4 linked regions of the Mus musculus genome follow. The protein of the gene in region 4 interacts with the protein of the main gene of each other region in a pairwise test. Links are inferred from orthologs where the notes say so. Each region holds a gene or a part of one and is shown on either strand. Other genes may lie near its edges.

Evidence for each region.
Region 1: the proteins of Snca (region 4) and Bcl2l1 interact in binary tests that used the Homo sapiens proteins (3 or more experiments, as listed by UniProt). The link is inferred for Mus musculus from reciprocal best matches to the Homo sapiens genes SNCA and BCL2L1.
Region 2: the proteins of Snca (region 4) and Arfgap3 interact in binary tests that used the Homo sapiens proteins (3 or more experiments, as listed by UniProt). The link is inferred for Mus musculus from reciprocal best matches to the Homo sapiens genes SNCA and ARFGAP3.
Region 3: the proteins of Snca (region 4) and Csnk1d interact in binary tests that used the Homo sapiens proteins (3 or more experiments, as listed by UniProt). The link is inferred for Mus musculus from reciprocal best matches to the Homo sapiens genes SNCA and CSNK1D.

Annotation. Positions count from the first base shown.
Region 1 is NC_000068.7:152,827,918-152,832,142, forward strand, and holds the start of Bcl2l1 (bcl-2-like protein 1), read right to left. Parts: upstream 2,801-4,225; 5' UTR 2,469-2,800; exon of another isoform or gene 2,270-2,468; intron 2,204-2,269; exon of another isoform or gene 2,186-2,203; 5' UTR 2,074-2,185; coding exon 1,510-2,073; exon of another isoform or gene 530-1,509; intron 1-529. UniProt on the Homo sapiens protein: Potent inhibitor of cell death. Inhibits activation of caspases. Appears to regulate cell death by blocking the voltage-dependent anion channel (VDAC) by binding to it and preventing the release of the caspase activator, CYC1, from the mitochondrial membrane.
Region 2 is NC_000081.6:83,346,852-83,352,176, forward strand, and holds the start of Arfgap3 (ADP-ribosylation factor GTPase-activating protein 3), read right to left. Parts: upstream 3,397-5,325; 5' UTR 3,299-3,396; coding exon 3,230-3,298; intron 1-3,229.
Region 3 is NC_000077.6:120,980,707-120,985,274, forward strand, and holds part of Csnk1d (casein kinase I isoform delta), read right to left. Parts: intron 2,638-4,568; coding exon 2,527-2,637; intron 1-2,526. UniProt on the Homo sapiens protein: Essential serine/threonine-protein kinase that regulates diverse cellular growth and survival processes including Wnt signaling, DNA repair and circadian rhythms. It can phosphorylate a large number of proteins.
Region 4 is NC_000072.6:60,825,620-60,830,743, forward strand, and holds the start of Snca (alpha-synuclein), read right to left. Parts: upstream 3,386-5,124; 5' UTR 3,105-3,385; intron 2,009-3,104; 5' UTR 1,983-2,008; coding exon 1,862-1,982; intron 1-1,861. UniProt on the Homo sapiens protein: Neuronal protein that plays several roles in synaptic activity such as regulation of synaptic vesicle trafficking and subsequent neurotransmitter release.

The sequences.
Region 1 (4,225 bases), on a different chromosome or scaffold from region 4:
AGGTCACAGCACAAACCAACAGGAACTATTTAATCATTTATCTCCCCAGGGAGTTCATTTACAGATTAGCTTTCAAGTCTGGCAACCCTTAGCTCAAGGGAACCCACCTTTACCTCAGTCAACTCTACTCTGGTCATCTGGCCTCTACTGACAAGTGACCTCCTTGCCTTTACAAGAGCTACTGGAGGGAAGAAAGGTGAAGTTTCAAAGAAATGGGAAACTAGAGGCAGGATGGGGTCCCAGGGAAAACCTGGAGGTCTCTTACCCTGTAGTAAAGCAAAGTGCTTGCCCCGCCCTAGGCCCAGCCTATGGACAACTAAATTCTTGACATTCCGGAGTCCATGGTGCATGGCCCCTTCCACCTCACTTCCTTCAATGGATGACTTATTTTCCAGTCTGTCCATTTTCTACATATTCTAAGGAGACAGAATACGTCTCAGAAGCCGCAATATCCCCTATTCCAGAATGCAGTTCACTCTGAAGGGTAACAAACGCCTACCACGACAGCTACTAGTAATGGAACTCTCACCTCTATCTCACCCTGACTGATGAGGTGGCGAGCAGGATTCTGAAGAAAAAGCACTCATTGTGTCAGCCTCTGCTCTCTTTATCTTTGGGTCACAATAGTCTGTTAGAAACTAAGGCTCTAGAAGGTAAACCAGCCTGTCCAAGGTCACATGGCCAGTTAAGTGACAGGGCCAGGACTCACACCCACATACAGTCTGTCACCAAATCTTAATTTCCTATGGAGCCTCACAAACCAGGTTCTTGCTCTGCCAGCAAACAGTGCTTCAGTAAAGAGGCCCCAGGGCCCTGACCAGAAAAACACTGGGCAGAGCAGCTGGAGATCCCCAACCAATCCAGGGCAGCGAGGTGCAAAGTCCTGGGGCTTGATATGGCACAGGAAGGGCTCTACAAACAAGCCAACCATGCAGAAAGTTGCACACTTTGGGGAAAAAGAACTTAGGAGCACAGCACAAACACCATTGGCCCAGACCACCCTCCTCTAAAATCAGACAATACTCAGCCACTCTAGCCAGTGGGGGCTCCTGACTGGCCAAATGGTCTGAGTACCATGCATGCAAGTACACAGCAGCCTGAGGTTCCAGTTCTGCAGTTTCCTGGGTATTATGTTCATCACCCCAGCCAAGGTGACCCATTTCATGAGAGTGAGCAGAACGCGGGGAGAACTTGCTGCTCTCATAGGTTTTAAGCCAAGTAAACACATAGGCTGTTTTTCTTTGCTGAGAAATTGGAACAAAACTATGAAACTGTGGGGCCACAAGGGTAGCCAGGATGAAAGATACAGGTCCCTTAAAAATTGGGTCATCTATATTTCCAAAGTTAACCTCTTGTATTAAAATGAAGCCAGGAAGGTCTCCTGAACAATCGGTATCTTTAACAACCATGCCATATAACAGAAAGAGACCAAAAAGGGCAGTTTTAGGGATGTTCACAGAGAAGAGAGACACAAGCAAGGGGCGGACACACAAGGGGCGTGGTTCTTACCCAGCCGCCGTTCTCCTGGATCCAAGGCTCTAGGTGGTCATTCAGATAGGTGGCCATCCAACTTGCAATCCGACTCACCAATACCTGCATCTCCTTGTCTACGCTTTCCACGCACAGTGCCCCGCCAAAGGAGAAAAAGGCCACGATGCGACCCCAGTTTACTCCATCCCGAAAGAGTTCATTCACTACCTGCTCAAAGCTCTGATACGCGGTCCCTGGGGTTATGTGAAGCTGGGATGTTAGATCACTGAACGCTCTCCGGTACCGCAGTTCAAACTCATCGCCTGCCTCTCTCAGCGCTTGCTTCACTGCTGCCATGGGAATCACCTCCCGCGCATCCAAACTGCTGCTGTGGCCAGTGGCTCCATTCACGGCCGGGCTATCCGCCAGGTGCCAGGATGGGTTGCCATTGATGGCACTGGGGGTCTCCCTCTCTGCTTCAGTTTCTTCTGGGGCCTCAGTCCTATTCTCTTCGACATCACTAAACTGACTCCAGCTGTATCCTTTCTGGGAAAGCTTGTAGGAGAGAAAGTCGACCACCAGCTCCCGGTTGCTCTGAGACATTTTTATAATAGAGATGGGCTCAACCAGTCCATTGTCCAAAACACCTGCTCACTTACTGGGTCTGCTCTGTGTTTAGCGATTCTCTTCCAGGATCCAAAGCCAAGATAAGGTTCTGAAGAGAGAGAGAGAGCTTCAGGAGAAAAATTTAATATGCATGTCATTTACCTTACAATATTCCCATTCCTCCTCCAGGTACCAGAATTGCTTTCTTTGTGGCTCTTATGAAGGTCTGAGTCCGGGTTCTAAGGGACTTCAATGAAGTCAAATTGAAAGGACCAGCCAGCTTTGAATTGTTTCATCCGCCTCTTTTTACTACAACCACCCACCCCCTTTTCTCCGAAATGCCTTTCTCCAAAAGTCACCCCCATTGGCATATCCCCACCACCACCACCTACATTCAAATCTATCTCCGGCGACAGCAAGCAGGTACAACCCCCGGAAGGTCTTTTGTATCATAGGTCGGGGAGGAGGTGGTGGCTGGGTCGCCGGTAACTCAGCAAAAAAAAAAAAAAAAAAAAAAAACCAGCCCCGGCCGGAGGGATCATGCGACCTGGTAGGCAGCTCAGAAGGCGACAGAGGAATTGCGAAGCTTAGGAACCTGCCCCCTCACAACCTGGTTCCTCCATCGACCAGATCGAGGGCGGCCTCTCTCTGCTCCGCAGGCTCCAGCCACCCGGGAGCCCAACCCCCTCGCTCTAGCACGCCCCTTGGCTCTCCGCCTCCTACTGGGAGTCAGGAGAACTCTCCCGGAGGTATGGGTTTAGTGTAATTTCCCCCCACCCCTCCTTTCTTTCTTTCTATTTAAGTACCAGCCCTAGATGAGGCTTCCGAAACCCTAAAGGGACTTCCAAGTGAATCTCAAGGTTTCGCGCAGGGACGCGGACAGGGGGAAGACAGCCTCGGATCTGTGATCTGATTTCGGAAAGACCACTCCCGGGTTTTTCCGAGAGGCGTATGCTGGAGACCCCCCACAAACACCGCTAGTTGTCTTTGAATTCCCCAAAGGCCCTGGACACAGCACTGGGGGACGGCCAGGTCCTCCATTCCGCGCCCGGACACAATGGCCGCCGGCACCCCACGCACAAAGACGGGGTGAGAGAGAGGCACTGAGCCCCGCCACCGGCCAGGAAGAAGGGTCGGGGCTCCCACAGTGGAGACCTCGTTTTTCCTGAGGCCGAGCCCAAGGCGGCCTTCTGGAGCCCCCTGCAGGGCTCGAGGGCCGGAGGCCGCTCCGCGCCGGAGCCCCGGGTGGGTGGGCTGAGGCCTCGCTTACTGCTCGCGCTCCCCTAGGCCGGGTACCCGCCGAGCCACCGCCCCGTTGCTAGGCAACCGCCCTCCCTCAGGGGCGCCCCCTAGACCTCTCTGGAAGGAGGGGTCTCGCCCCCGCGGCCCGCCCCAGCTTAGCCAATCCGCGGGTCGAGTCGGCACGGAAGCGGGACGGCAAAGGCTCCCATTGGGCCCAGCGCCTGTCAGGCACAGGGGAGGCGGCGCTCTCACCTGCGAGCCCCAGAGAGCCGTGGGGGGCCACATCCCCCCTTCATAGGCCCAGTGGCTTCCAGACACTAGGGCGTTTTGCGGCTGGGAAGTATGCCGCGGACTTAAGCCTGCCTACCTGGCTGACTGCTCGTGCTGAATCTCCCGGAGAAGCCGGCCTCAGTTTCCCCTGAAGAGACCGGGGGAACTTGCAAGCGCAGCCACTTCCGGTGCCGCGGCAGCGCGCGCGAGCCCGAGACGCAAAAGGAGTGCGCGCCAGAAAGGGACTGGCATCGAGACATGGGAGAGCAGCGACCCCTGGCGAGCGATTTGAGGAGTCTCAGGCGCGTGGAACGTTTATGGTTCACATTCCTTCAATCTAGTTCCTTCATCCATCTGTCCCTTTGTATACTACAGAAAAAGTGCTTTTTCCTTTCGATGTCGGTGTCCAACATCGAACAGGTTTCTCAACTTGTGTATTTCCCCCCTCACTTTAAAAATAGACAGCAATATTGACCTTTCATTGACTGTGTATCAGGTACTACTTGAAAAGCCTGAAGAATAGAAAGCCCTTAGTTTGGTTTGTTGAAGACACAAGGCAAGGCAATGTCTCTGTTTTTATGAAGACTTATACCTTACGGGTGGAGACACCCAACTAGGAAAATACACAAACAATGTA
Region 2 (5,325 bases), on a different chromosome or scaffold from region 4:
GAGCAAAAAGTTTACTTAGAGGGCACGTCCTTACAACCCCAGATGAGTCTTTACATAGTGTACTTATTTTGTTGTTGTTGTTGTTTTTAATTTTCATTTGTGAAAGAACATTGTTATATGGTCTAGCCTTGAATTTGGCAATCCTCCTGCCTCAACTCAAGCAGTTTAAGAGTGCTGTTAAGCTAGGCATGATGACTGGGTGGCTTGAAGCCATCCTCATCTCATAATTTTGTCATTCAGAAAGCTGTGGCAAGGATTGCAAAATTCAAGGCCAGCCTAGGGTTACATAGTGAGTTCAAAGCTGGCCTGGGCTACATAGGCAAAACCTGTCTCAAAAAGAAAAGAAAGGAAAAGAAAAGAAAAGAAAAGAAGAGAAGAGAAGAGAAGAGAAAGGAAAAGAAGAGAAAGGAAAAGAAAAGAAAGAAAAGAAAAAACGAAAAAAGGAAGGAAGAACGAACTGAAGGTATTGCTCAATGGCAAAGTGCCTGTTTAGAGTACACAGGTCCTAGGTTCAAACCCCAGCACTACACTAGAATGATGGAGCTTATTGTTGCCCAGTCCTTCTAGTCATTAGAACTAGTTTTCACCAGCAGGGCGTGGTGGGGCACAGCTTTAATCCCATCACTGCGGAAGCAGAGGCAGCAGCAGGCAAATCTCTGTGAGTTTGAGGCTAGCCTGGTCTACAGAGTGGATTCCAGGACATCTAGGGATACACAGAGAAACCCCATCTCACAAAACCAGAAACTAGTTTCATCACTTTTCACGTCAAATCCATCCAGTCAGCAATGGCTTCAAGCCACAACCATAAAGGAAAGCCAGTGCCATGAGACATGACCAGAAGCTACTTTGGAATCTTGCTTTAGAAATCATATCACAGGAGAGATGACTCGGTGGTTAAGAGCACTGACTGCTCTTCCAGAGGTCCTGAGTTCAAATCCCAGCAACCACATGGTGGCTCACAACCATCTGTAATGGGGTCTAATGTTCTCTTCTGATGTGTCTGAAGACAGAGACAGAGGACTCATATATTTAAAATCAATAATTTAAAAAATATCATATTATAGAACATAAAGTTTCTATAGGTGTGCTCTTCAGAATAAAATGAAAAAAGGGGGAGGGCTGCATTCATGTGGTTTAGTGTCTGACCAGGCTTTCGTGTGTGTCTGGGTGTTTACATTTTGAGGCATTTTGTGTTGCTTTGTAACACATACTAATCAAAAAACCACTACGTACCTCAAGCTGGCCTTTAACTATTGGAAATCCAACCGCCTCAGTTTCCCAAGGGCTGGGACTCTAGGTATGTACTCTCATGGCCAGCTGGACAATAATTTTACTTTTTTTTTTTTTTTTTTTGGAGAAGTAGTCTAATGTAGTCTAAGGCTGGCTTAGAACTTGCTCTGTAGCGGAGGCTGCCCTTGAACTCTTGTTCTTCTTGCTTTCACCTCCCAAGTGCTGGGGTCGCACCATGTGCTACTGTACTCAACTAACATTTTAATACACAAGCAAGCCCACGTGGGCTCCTTAAAAGTGTCTGCTGGTATTGATGACAGGGACTTCTGATGTAAAAGGAGTGTCTTCCTTTTTTTTGTTGTTGCTTCTTGCTTTTTTGTTTTGTTATTTAGCAGTGGCCTTTTTGATACATTCGAAGGGAATACACACTGGCGTGCAACTCAGAGAAAGTGGCAGCATACGCACTTTCCCAGCCTGCCAGCTGGAGATCCAACCTTGTGTGGTAAGAAGCAAGTCCTTGCTACACACAGATCAATCTAAATCTGAAAAAAATAAACAAAAAACAAGAAACCAGCAAGTGACAGACACTGGACAATGCAGTGGCTGGAAGCCAGCTCTTCTTCCTTATACCCACCTGACATTATCACCCCCATTTAACCATTTCCTTCATCATAAGGCTATAAAAACCTAGGGCTCCCTTCCACCATCAAGACATTAAAAAAAAAAAAAGCCTGAATTTTGTGACATGTTGGAACTTTCTATGCCAGCCATGCAGGACTCTGTAATCACGGCTGTGCCCATTAACAGATGGTTCCTCAGAGGTGAAGGTGGCAACCAGATGGAACTTGGAGAGGGGTGGGGAGAGTCCACAGTGACACGACAGCCCTTTGCACTCCTCGGGTTCCACCCTACTCCGTCATCCTAAGGAAGTAGACACCTTAACCCTGTGTATCAAAACAACACTGCCAGCCACATGCTAAAAGTTATGAGGCCCAGTGGTTGGGGGTGGGGTCTGTGTGTGTGTGTGTGTGGGGGGGGTCACATAAGGGGAAGAAAAAAATTGTAGGGACAGACCTCAACCTACAGAGGGATGAACGTGAGTTTTAGTGAGCTTCCTCAGGAACCCAGAGAGCTGGCAACCAGGGAAGAGAACCTTAGCTCTACTGGACTGGGAAACAGGCTGCCACCGAAGGACAATGGTGACAAAAATCCAACAGGTCCCCAGCCCTGAAGAACACTCAAGACAAGGTCCATGGTGGGGGGAGAAGCCCTTCTTTCCCAGAACTTAGCACCACTTAGAGTTCTGACCCCTGGGTCTAGGTGGCTGGGATTTTTACCTTTGTTCACAGAGGCCAGAAGGAGTGAACTCTGCCTCACCAGCCTTCTCAGAGCCCAGCTACACACTTCCAACATCTGTTTCCTCCACCCTACCATGTCTGTGCTTCTGGGTCAAGGTGCTCTGTTCTCCAGACCCCTAGACACCCCTAGATGCTATGAACTAGCCTTCTCTCTAAGCCCCCAGGTAGTCTGGCGTCTGGGTAACCTGGACACTCCTAGAGGTCCATACCCCAGTCCTCTCTCTGCCATGAAATGCACTGGTCTCCTGTTCCAGATGTCCATGCCCCAGTCTTCTGTCTATCCCCAGGTGTTCTGGCCTCTGGTGGCGGACACCCCAACTGTCCATGTCCCAGCCCCCCCTGTGACCCCAGACGCTCTGCCCTAGGATGCTAGACATCCCAGATGTCCATGCCCCAGTCCTGTGACCCCAGGCTCTCTGCCTTTTAGTCCTGGACATCCTCCGGATGCCCATGTCCCTGTGCCCCAGGCGCTAAGCCCCTGGTGGGCGCCCCCTTTTCCTCCCCTTGCTGACGAAGGTTGGGGAGCGGCGGCTGCCAGGCCCACAGTGCGACGTGTCACAGGCCGGGCGGCTCCTCCCACGGCCGCGGCCACACCGGGGTCCGGCGGGCCGCGGGGTCCCAAGCCCGCCTGCGGCCGTTACCTTGTTAGTGGGCACCGAGCGCAGGCGCTTGAAGATGGCCAGGATGTCCTGCTTGCTGGGGTCCCCCATAGTCACTGAGAACTGAGGTGAAGCAGTCCCCGACAACCGGGAAGAGACAAGGAGTAGCGGTTGCCGCCTCCCGGAGACCGAGGGGCGGGGCTGCGCGTGACGACAAGCCCCGCCCCTGCCGCGCCCAGGCTCCGCCCACAAGCGGGCGCACGCGCCGTTCTCCTTCACTCGGTGAGGTCCCTCGGCGCCACTGGTTTCTCCGGGTTCCAATTTCGAAGTCGGGCGCGGCAGGCGCATGCGCGGACGCTCGGACAACTCCCACCCCTCCGCAAACCTTCCCCAGATCTCAGCGTTAGTTAGGGTCCTGCAGTGTGGGATAGGAACCCCAGGCTTTGCGCAGGGAGCATCGGGCTTACCCACCGGACTCACCAGCATACCGTTGCCGGCCCGTGGCCAGTCTCACACCTATCCCTCAGGATGGGAGAGCCAGCAGGTCTCATCCTCATGGATCCTGCATAGTAGTAGTGTGTGTTTGTACTCTTTCTCAGCTAAAGTCAAGCCCTGAGTGATAACCTACAGGAAACTGCTGTCCCATTTTTCTCTCTCCCATCTGGGAAACCCAGGCTGGCCTAGAGCACACTGTGTAGTCCAAGGCTGGACTTGAACTGGAGATATTCCTGTTTTAGCGTCTTGCTGCTCAGATTACAGGTCTGCACCAAGCCATACTGGCTTGATAATCTTGTAATTATAAAGTCTGTTCTGTTCACGGAGAGAGAGTGCTTGCCTGTAGGCAACAAGTTCTATCAGGGTCAGAACTGAGAAGTCTAGAAAGACCAGAAACAAGTCTGTGTTTAGTGCTTGGGGCTCCAGTTAAACCTTGGATAATATTAGTAGCTGGAAGGTTTGAGCTTGGGAGCAGGTGCCTCTTTTACAGCGGTCAGGGTGGAGCAGCTGGCAAACATGACCTTAGGTAGAGCATAATAGAAGAAAAACAGGTTTTGGTATCAAGTGCTAAGCCCCAGCTTCTGTCCCAGTTCAACTGGTTGCTTCCCAGCAGGGCTGCTGTAGGCACTTCCTAGCATTCACCTGTATGAAGGAGTTGGAGATGAAATATGTTGACCAGAGCAGCACTGCAGCTTCAGGGATGTTCTGAAAACGGTCTTGGTGTCAAGTTGGGACCTCATATAGGCTGTACAAGGACAGGAACTGGCACAAGACACACAAAGTTCTCAGCAGAGTGACAAAAGGGCAGGGAATAAGAGACAAAGACAGGAGATAGAGCAAGAGGAAGAAGTGAAAAGGAGGGAGAGGGGGACGGGTTATTTGCTCCAGAGGGACAAAGGACTGCTTCTGGATAGAGAAGAGACAGCCTTGGCGTATTGGCAAATGGCAGTTCATAAAGGTAAAAGAAGAAACCCCTTTAGGATAAGTTTATTTTATGGGGCATGCTAATTAGGTGAACCAAGGTAGGGGGTGGATTTTGATAGCTGGACCTTAGTATGTTAGCCTCAGGAAGTGGACAAATAGCGTAACAAACCTTGGTGGCTAGCTTTAGGAATGTAATCTAACGGTTCTTAGCAAGGAGAAAAAAAGAGGAAAGGCAAGGCCCGCCAGTGCCATGTTTGCCATCTCAGGCCTGGTAGATGCCTCAGGCTGTGTATTCATCAACCCAGAGCTGGGCCTTTTCCAAGGTTAGGAAATGTGCAGTCTTTAGGAACAGCATGTTGCTGCTGCAGACAACCCTCACCATTTGAATGATCTTCCTATCTTCGTTCAAAAAAAAATATATATATATATATGGATAGTTCATAGGAGTTAGGAAAACAGCTATACTGGTATAGTGATGTAACCTTTCTAATCTCTGGATTTGGGAAGTAGAAGCAGGAGGCTCAGGAATTCAAGGTCATCTTTGGTTACATAGTGAATTTAAGGCAGGCCTGAAGTACATAAGACCCTAGATAATTTTTTTTAAGGAAACCCTGACCCCCACCCTGTCTGCTGTTTAGGCTGGGATTGAAATGTGATGGATCCAAGGAAGTATCAGGATCAGAAACTAAAGCACCAGGCCACTTTGCCAGCTGTACACA
Region 3 (4,568 bases), on a different chromosome or scaffold from region 4:
GCCTGGGTCATAATCCTGAGGCTGAGTGTCCAGGTTTCAGTCTGTATCCTAGAGAAAGCCCACCATCTTGCCTTCTGTAGCACCCACTGCACAGTGACCACACAGAACCGCAAGCTGGCTTTTCGCCCAGCACGGCAGCTCTCAATCAGACACCGTGACACCACGGTCTCCCAGCGCTTCAGCCAATCATGCTTTCCTTCTTGGTTTTTTTTTTTTTTTTGCATAGCCAGAGCCAAGGTAAACAAGATCTAGACAACCAAAGCAGCACTTGTTCCTTTCAGAAGGCAGCAAAGTGACCTATACCACCTACATACAGAAAAACATGACACTTGTCAGGGAGCAATACCTTGTGGTTTCTGAGCAAAGTGCACCCCCCCCCCCCCATCTAGTCTCAGATAATTAAAAACTGCTGTAACTGTGCATCCTTTTCCTGTTTCCTAAAACAGAGACCTGCAGGACTACACAGTAAGTAGGCAGCAAGAGTAAAACCTGACCAAAGCCAGAACAATGTTCAAAGGCCAAGAAAGGCTGCCACCCACTTCTCAATCTTGTGTGGATTCCAGGCATCTAGAGAAGGGATATGGGCAAGTGATTAAGGGCCCACACAGTGAGTAATGCTACCCAGCAGTAGGTACCCTGCACTATCCACAACTTTATTCTCCAATCATAACCTGGGAGGGCAACTGACACAGTGCACAAAGAGCAGTAACCAGGGCTGGTGAGATGGCTCAGTGGGTAAGAGCACCCGACTGCTCTTCTGAAGGTCCAGAGTTCAAATCCCAGCAACCACATGGTGGCTCACAACCATCCGTAAGGAGATCTGACTCCCTCTTCTGGAGTGTCTGAAGACAGCTACAATGTACTTACATATAATAAATAAATAAATCTTTAAAAAAAAAAAAAAAAAAAAAAAAAGAGCAGTAACCATAGCACATGGCAGGGATGCTGGAACCTCGTGCCTCTCTGGAGCCCACTATGCTCCTTTCTGACCACTATCAGGCTGCAGCACCCTTAGGCACTCTAGGCTAGCACATTTTCAGAACTTATTATAACCCCTTCATGCATTAAGCTTAATTCTTATGCTGTTTTGTTCTACTCCACTTGTTACAAAAGCTAATGCCCTCACGAAGACTGTCCTACTGAGGATGTGCCAAAGGGCAGGCGTACAGGACTGGGACTCTGCTGACCTCTTTTTGAGAAAATAAAGTTAAAAATAAAACCCAACAAAACGGAAAAGGATAAAACAACAAAAGAACCAAAGAGCACATGAAACACATACAGATGCAGAGACACACAGAGAACTCCCAATTAACACACAACACCAGAAACCATAAAACATAAGCAAAAGATCTGACAGGAAAAGCAAAAGAAAAAAGAACAAAAATGTCCAAACAAATCATTATGAGACAAGGAACCCAAAAATGCCATTGAGTTCATGCTGTCTTGTTCATCTACTGCTGGGCATGACATTTATCCTTAAGAGTGGCTTGTTTTGTATAACTGGTGATACTCTGTTGGAGATAGCTTCTGGTTTAGGGATGGTCGCTTGTGTCTACTTCCTCTCTTGGGGCTGGGAACCCATCTGGATTAGGCCCATAGACAGTCTCTGTGAGTTCATATGTGCACCAGCCCTATGTTTGGAAGGTATGTGTGGATGTCACCAGGTATTGTTCATCTACCTATGGCCTCCTTTGATTCTATACCCAGGATAGGATACAATGGACATTAAGGGAATACAATGGCCACTAAGATGGACACACAATGGCATGCAGCTACTGCCTTAGACATTTTGTTAGAGAAAGTTGGTTTCCAGGAGAGGTAGAATTAAATTGCTTTTGCTGAGGGAGGGCAACAAAACATCAAACCAACAGTTTCCCTTTTCCTGCTGAGGCCAATAAAGAGTCTGTCACATGGTGGGGGGGTCACATGGTCACATGGTGGGGGGCTCTCCTCCCTATTCCAACTATCACAGCACCACAGAGGCTTCTGTGGTTTGTTTGTTTGTTTGTTTTTCAGATACAAATCCTGTCACAAGCAGGCTCCTATCCTAGGAGGTGGGGTTGGGTCTCATGGTCTTGAAAGCCTCAAATTAGAGCTCCTGTTTCATCAGGCAAACTACTTAGTACTCCAAGGTCTTGCAGTAAAGTTTTACAGAACTGAGAACAGTGACTTAGCTGGGAGTCAGAGAAGTTATGTTCAAAACTCCTATCCAAGAGAAAACTGAAACTTCAGAGTTTTATGAGACTACCCTCAAGTTCTAAGGAAAGCATGTGACCCAGAAGAAGCCAGCTAGCAGGAAGCACTGTGCTGTGACAAGGAGCACCATGTTTACTTTGAAATTTACACAAAATCCATCTTTCAAAGACATTATCATTTAATGGGAAGCTAATAGGGGGAGCTCTTAAGCAAAGCCCATTAAGTCTGCTTCCTCTGGGGTGTGAGGTCTGCTCTATCTGTAGGCGATGTATCTGTAAGCTATGTATCATCTGTAGGCTATGGTAGACATGAACTGAACATGAACCTTACCTCCTCCCTGCATCATTTTGTAGATCTTGCTCTCAATGTGGAGCTGAGGATGTTTGGTTTTGACACATTCAAGCTTGATGGCAACTTCTTCTCCCGCAGCAATGTCCGTACCTTACAAACAAACAAAGTTACATATATTATTCTGTGTCTACCACATAACCCAAAGCTTTTGGGTTATTTGATATCCATTACATCTTTGTGAGGCAGGAACAGTGCTAGGGATGGAATCCAACACCCTTGCACATGGCCAAAACCATGCCACTGAACCACACCACACCCTACCCCTTATAGTACTGGCTTCCTAAGACGGACTAAATGATAGTGCTTTGTACTTCCTATTAAGAGAAGGTACTGCTGGCTGACCAACACACAAAAAAACTATCTTTATTCAAAAACATGTAAGAAAACATCTTTGACATTCTACCTTCCATTTTTACCTGTACCCATTGTACCCACCAGCTAGTCAATATAGCTGCAGGCCCCATTCCTTCTACCCACTCAGGGCTAACTAAGACAGAGAGCAATGGGATGCTTCTCTGTGACGGTTTGATAGGCCTTTTGGAGCGTGCCTGAGTCTCCCAAGAGGAGGACAGCTGAGTGTCCCCCTATTCTCTCTCCTCCCGATCTCAGGCCAGACAAGCCTGACGTCTACCCACACACCTCAACAGTTTCTCACCAGTGGTTCTAATGTGGACACAATCATCTCCAAACAAACTACCATAGGCTTAACAAAGACCCTCAACTAAACCAAGGGAAAACTCTCCACTCCTTTTTGTAGATCAGACTGGCCTTGAATTCAGACTGACCTACCTCTGTCTCTCAAATGCTAGGATTAAAGGCAGGTGCCACCCTCAGCCCCTTGGGGCCACAGAGTTTTTGTTAATTTGTGACGATGTTACGATAACTAGGGCTGTGGAATTTGGAGGTAAAGACGGTGTTATCTGTAAGCATCCCTTTCATGCTTTACTCTAAAAGCTCCCACATAAATGTTCCTCAGTCTACCTGGTCCAGGCTGCTTCGGAGTTTCCCTGCTTCTGCATGGTACATCCAGGACCTAACATTCCACACAGCCCTCTTCCTCGACAGGTTGTTTCTAAGTGGAAAGCAGTTCTATACTCCAAGGACTGTAGTTATTTGAAAAAGATTTGTACTTTTCTTTTCTTTTTTTTTTTTTAAATAGAGCCTGATACAACCAAGCATGACCAGGTTCTGTGCTGGGTAGAGAAGCTGTGGACTGAGAAGCCTGGCTAGCTCTCCGTGACTCAATCTCTTTGTTAACTGAGATGGGAGGGGTATGCAAGAGTTTCACAGGGAGCCGAGGAATGAGTCACTTAGGTGGCCTATAGGCATAGGGACAACCTAAAGCCAACAAATTGTGTCTGCTGCCACCCAAGAATCATAGACAAGTCATTTTGGTCTGTCAGATGGCTGGCTGCTCTGACCACACCTGGGCCAAAAGCCAATCTCCGATGCTGCAGATCTGTAAGAATAACAGGAATGCCACTGACATATCTAGGTGGAAGAACTTCACTTACTACTCCACAAGAAATCTTTGGGAACACTATAGTAAGAAGCAATATATCTTATTCTTCTTGCCTACAGTCAGGGCAGCTTATCCACTCACACAAGAAATGACTTCATCTAGAATGAATCTGCAGATGAAAAATGACCTCTGACTACTTTTAAGGACCTGGACTCTGAGCTGAACTTGCCAGCCAGGAGCTATGGTGACTCACTTCACCAGTTATGTCAGCAACTCCCTGAACCCCCAAAGCAGTACTCTCTGGGACACCATACCACCCTTGCCAAATGGCAGGTCCACAGGGACAAGACAAGTTGGGGCCAACCAGCCTAGCAGATCAGGACCTTCAGGAAGGTGGAAATGCCTCTAGCTTTACTCTTCTGTGGCTCCTATAGCTCATGCCATGACAAATCACTCCTGCAGTACTCTCAGCCTTGGGGACAAATGACCAATGACAACTCCAAAACATAATGTGAATTACACCACCATTCGACACCATTTTCTCCCTACCTCTACCCCC
Region 4 (5,124 bases):
CCCAAACTCAAAATTAACAATAAAAACAAAGAAGTGTTCTGCTTGACAAAATCCATTTATTATCCAGAAAGAGTAATATACTAAATTAATATTCAACAACTTCTAAATTTGCTTTAAATTAGTGATCTACAGATATGTTTCTTAAGCAACTGAAGTAAAAAAAAAAAAAATCAGTCACAAGCCTGTAGTTGTGGAAGAATTGAGTTTTTCCCCAAATCTACAAATTACTGCTTTTATATTCTGAATTCTATCTAAAACATTATACTTCACAATTCATTAAAAAAAAAACACTCTAAAATTAGCTCATTGACACCCTTCTCTTACAATACTCATTACAAGACTTTCTGAAAGGATGTTTTAAGTAGAAAAAGAGAATTAATTCAATGTAAAATTATTCTGTGAAGAATTAGGAAAGGTGATCTGCTAGAAACTTCAATGAAAAGACACATTCATGAAAATGTTTACAAGTATCAATTCCTCACTGATCGTTTGGAGGGTCAGCATGGCTTCCCCCGATTGGTACTCTGGGTAGCATCTGCATCACTTTTGCCACCTGTTCTGCTCCTTTTCAGCCTGAATGTTTACCCTGAGTCTTCCACCAAGAGAGATGCCCTCCTAAGAAGGTGGAAACAGTGTTCACAGGAGGAAAGAGAGGTAGATGAACCCTGCAACTGTGCTCCCATGTGCACCTGTGTCTCTGCTGGGGATAAGCATGTGTGCATGGGTGTCTATTCCTTCCATGAAAGTACTAGAAGGGATTTGTAAAGTTACAGCCAATTTAACACAGGGAAAGACAGAGAAAGGGAGTGTTGGCCTTCCTTTCAATGTGTACAGTCAGGCAGAAAATGGCACTAAATATCAACCTCTTACTGTTCAGCATGTATGATCTCTGACAGGTGAACTAAACAAACATTTCTGAAGTTCCTTAAGTCCCGCTGTTCCCACTGACCAAGTGATCCCTAAAAGGAGATCCACCAAAGAAGACTTGCTTTCTTTCTTCTATTTGAGGGTCAAAGGAGTTGTATTTTCACAGTTGTAAAATAAAATTATGCAAAACTATTGTTTAAAGCTTTATAATTTATTAAACTTAGCAGGTATTACCTATAGTGATGATGAAAGAAATCAAAGTCCCATGAGTACTTGTGGCTCACTTTCTTTCTTTCTTTCTTTCTTTCTTTCTTTCTTTCTTTCTTTCTTTCTCTTTCTTTCTTTCTTTCTTCCTTCCTTCCTTCCTTCCTTTATTTCTTTATTTCTTTGTGTGTGTGTGTGAGTGTGTGTGTGTGTGTATGTGTGTGTGTGTATGTGTGTATGTGTGTATGTGTGTGTGTAAGAGAGAGTGTGTGTGTGTGTATTGTGTGTGTGTGTGAGTGTGTGTGTGTGTGAGAGAGAGAGAGAGAGAGAGAGAGAGAGAGAGAGAGTGTGAGTGTGTGTGTGTGTGTGTGTGTGTGTGTGTGTGTGTTCTCACATAGTTCAGGCTGGCATCAAATTCTCTGTGTAGCTGAAGATGACCATCAACTCCTGGTCCTTGGGCCTCCACTTCCCAAATGCCACCAGGCTTACTGCCATACATGTCTTTGATTCATAAGCATATTCTTGGTTATTTTTCATGGGTTGCCAATTTTTAAAATTCAGTGTATTCATACACAGAAACAGAAAACCAAATAAAAAACCTACATAAATAACAAGATTAATGAATCTAAGGACAGAAAACATTGTCCCTGTTTGTTTCTGAGAGCTAATATGCAGGTTCATATTCTCTCACCTCCACACAGCTGTCACTCTTCTGAGAAGCTGTGATGCACACGAATCAGACACCACACACCAGCCACCCCAATTCATTAGTCACAGTGTCACTACCTACCTACATAGAGGACTCCCTCTTTTGTCTTTCCAGCTGCCTCTGCCACACCCTGCTTGGTTTTCTCAGCAGCAGCCACAACTCCCTCCTTGGCCTTTGAAAGTCCTTTCATGAACACATCCATGGCTAAAGATGTATTTTTGCTCCACACTAGAGAATACAGAATACATTTTGAATTAGAAAATTTGGGTAAAAAAATAATAATAATAAGGTTTAAAACAGCTAGAGAAAGAAAGGAAATTGAGGGGGAAAAATCAGTATGCCTTCCCCCAAGTCCTGGTGTAAGTGTGATTTCTTGGGTGGGGGGATGTGGGGGTGCTGGGCACAGTGTTGATTGATTGTTGAGTTATGTCACTCAATACTAGGAAAAAGTCATGTCACTTAAGGATGGGATGGATCTAGTTTGATCATTCGACTGCTCTTACATACATATTTCAGAAGAAGAGTTGCAGAAGGGGAGGTGGGCATCCTCTACCCCATCAAGTTCCCAGGGCCCAAAGGTTACATTCAAAGTAAAAAGACTATCTAGAAAAGGAACATGGGAGGTGGGCGTACAGAGATGGAGTGGGGGCAAGAGGATAAAAGACCCAGAGAGGAGTCAGTCTTTGGAGAAGGAAGGGAGGGGAACTGTTTAATCTAGAAGTAGGGAACTGCTTGAAGCCCAGCCTTTCTAATCTTGCAAGACCTTCTGCCCACCACTAGCTCTTTGCCTGCTATCTGCCCAGAGCAGGCGCTGTCCATACACTTGAGCAGTCTCACTTGAGCACCACCCAACCAAGAAGCTCTGTCCTCAGCTGGAATCCTCTAGAAGACCCTGCACCCCATGCTCATTAACCCTTTATCACCTGTTGCCTACTGTCCTCTGCACTTCTATTAATCATGGGCCAAAGGCACCCTTCTTCCTCTACAGAAAGAAGCTGAAATGCCTGGGGTTGGAGCATGAAAGTTGGATGCTCAAATTCCACCCAATGCCCAGCACTAAGCTTCCACCATCCAGCACTCAACATGAAACACCCTAGCGTTTCCGCTTGAAAAAGCAGATGCCACAGGCAACCTGGCCTTTCCCTCGGGCTTTGACAGGATGGAAGGGCATGTCTCCAGCGAAAGGAAAGCCGAGTGATGTACTTTCCACGCACTGGCCCAGTCCCCACCGCCAAAGCAGCTGTAGTTGGTCTTCTCTAGGCGTCCCGGCTCTTTGCTCCGGCTAGCTAAGATCCCCAGAGCTGCCCCATCTACAGGTACTTACCGGCTCCCTAGGCTTCTGAAGAACTCCGATTCTTCCTGTTTTCCCCAATCTAATTTCAATGAAAGAGGCAAGGGCAGGCAGGGGCAGGGGGAACACCTGCTGGTCTCCTGCCGTCTGCTGCCTGCTGCCGGGCGCTCTGGCTCCCTGGCTCCTTCACGTCGCCCCCGCAGCTGATTTGTCAGCGCCTCTCCCCGCCCCTCGCCTGCCTCGTGCCTTCGCTCCTCTTCCTAGGGAGGGGACGGGTTGGTTGGAGGTGCGGTGCGTGAGGGCTGTGGGTATCTGGAGCACATTCCCCCGGATGGAAGGAAGAGAGGACGGCCTGAGCCTCCCCTCGAGTTCAGAGGGCCCTCAGTTTTATCGTGGCTGAACTTGAGCTGGCGCCTCTCCTGCCCCACCCCCCTCCTTCCCTGCCTCAGTCTGTTCCCAGTTCCTCTAGGCGACCCCCTCCTCCAGGACGAGCCCAGATGCCACACCAGAGAGCTGGACCGCCTGAAATGGTCTGTGTGCGGAGCCAGGCAATGGAGAGGGAGCACACACCCTTGGGGTTGCTTTTGTTCACACAGCTTAAGATTTCCATTTGTTTTTACCCCGGAGGAGTCTAAAAGGGTTCTGGGTGCAAAGGGGAGCCGACTAAGGAAGAGTTACAGGTCGAAGAAGCAGGGGGAGGCTCAGCAAATCCTCATTCCCACTCCACTATCACCATTTTCTTTTCCACCAATCAGCGGCTGCCAGACGCTGATTTTTTTTTCCCCATCTGTGGAGCAAGGAATAAATATCCCCCAACCGTCGAAAACCAGCTGCCTCAAGGCTTTTTTGCACTTGAGAAAGTGGCTTACTATAGAGTTACAGGATAGGAAGGTAGCGGCTGTGGGATTCACCCTCTGGGACCATCACAGGCAGTTTCTTCCTTAGTCCCTACTTAATGGCAGATTTTGCACACCTCTTACCTTTCCGACTTCTGGCTGCGTGGAGCTCCAGCGAACAGACTCTTCTTCCAATCCAAGCACACGCGCAGATAGATGCACAGGCTTTGAGACAATTTCTGTGTTACTTAACACGTTCCCACTTCTCTCTGAGATGAGCAGAATACCACTGTTTTATAGCAGAGTGGATTTGAGTGCCAAGCTCCTCCCCCAGCAGAGTGCCTTGCTTTTCCTTTCTTGTATTCTGAACTTGTGTTGGGCACTGGAAGCTAAATCAAGCGTTTACTGTATTAAAAGGGGGGGGGGGTCGTAGGAGGGAATGCTTTCTCTGATCCTTGAAGTCAGTTGACTTCTGAATCCTGAAAAATAAATAAATAAATAAATAAATAAATAAATAAATTGAAGTCTAAAAAAGCATTTGAAACAAGGGACAAGCAGCTTGTTTGGCATGCTATAAAGGAAGGAGGCAGATAAAACCACAAATGCAGAGTACAAGTAATGTGACAGAAATTAACTGTTTAAGCAACGCCTTCAATTCTTATTCCCTTTAAAAATCAACCTTCCTACACACTAGTGGCACATACCATGTTTACTTGAAATTAAAGGAAAAGGTGGCACCTCTGCAGTAGATAGGGTTAGATCCTGGGCTCTAGCATCCCCATCCTGCCAAGTTAGGACACCTGTCCTCAACCAGCCAGGTAAAGTGACATATAAATAGTGAAATACTAGAAATGGGAGTAATTCAATGTGGCCACGTTAAGAAGAGGAACAGAGGTTTAGTGCCCCAAGTTCATCTTGTTTAGATAGAGGTCAGGATGTATGTATGACTAAGCAGTAGGTCAAAGTGTGCTTCCAGCTACTGTCTCTGTCTCCGCTCCAGTCTCTTCTGCAAGGAGGTCTGACTAAGTATCTGATATCTGATATTTCTTCCTGGGAGACATGCTCACCCTGTAATTGACACAAGGCTTCAGCCTTTTCCTTCCCTCAGCAAATTCCTGGAGGACTTCCAATTTCTTGGGGTCTATTTGTCAATAGTCTAAAGCCAGATGAGAGGACACAAACGTTTCCTCGGGATAATGTTTTGCCAGGCCTGTTTT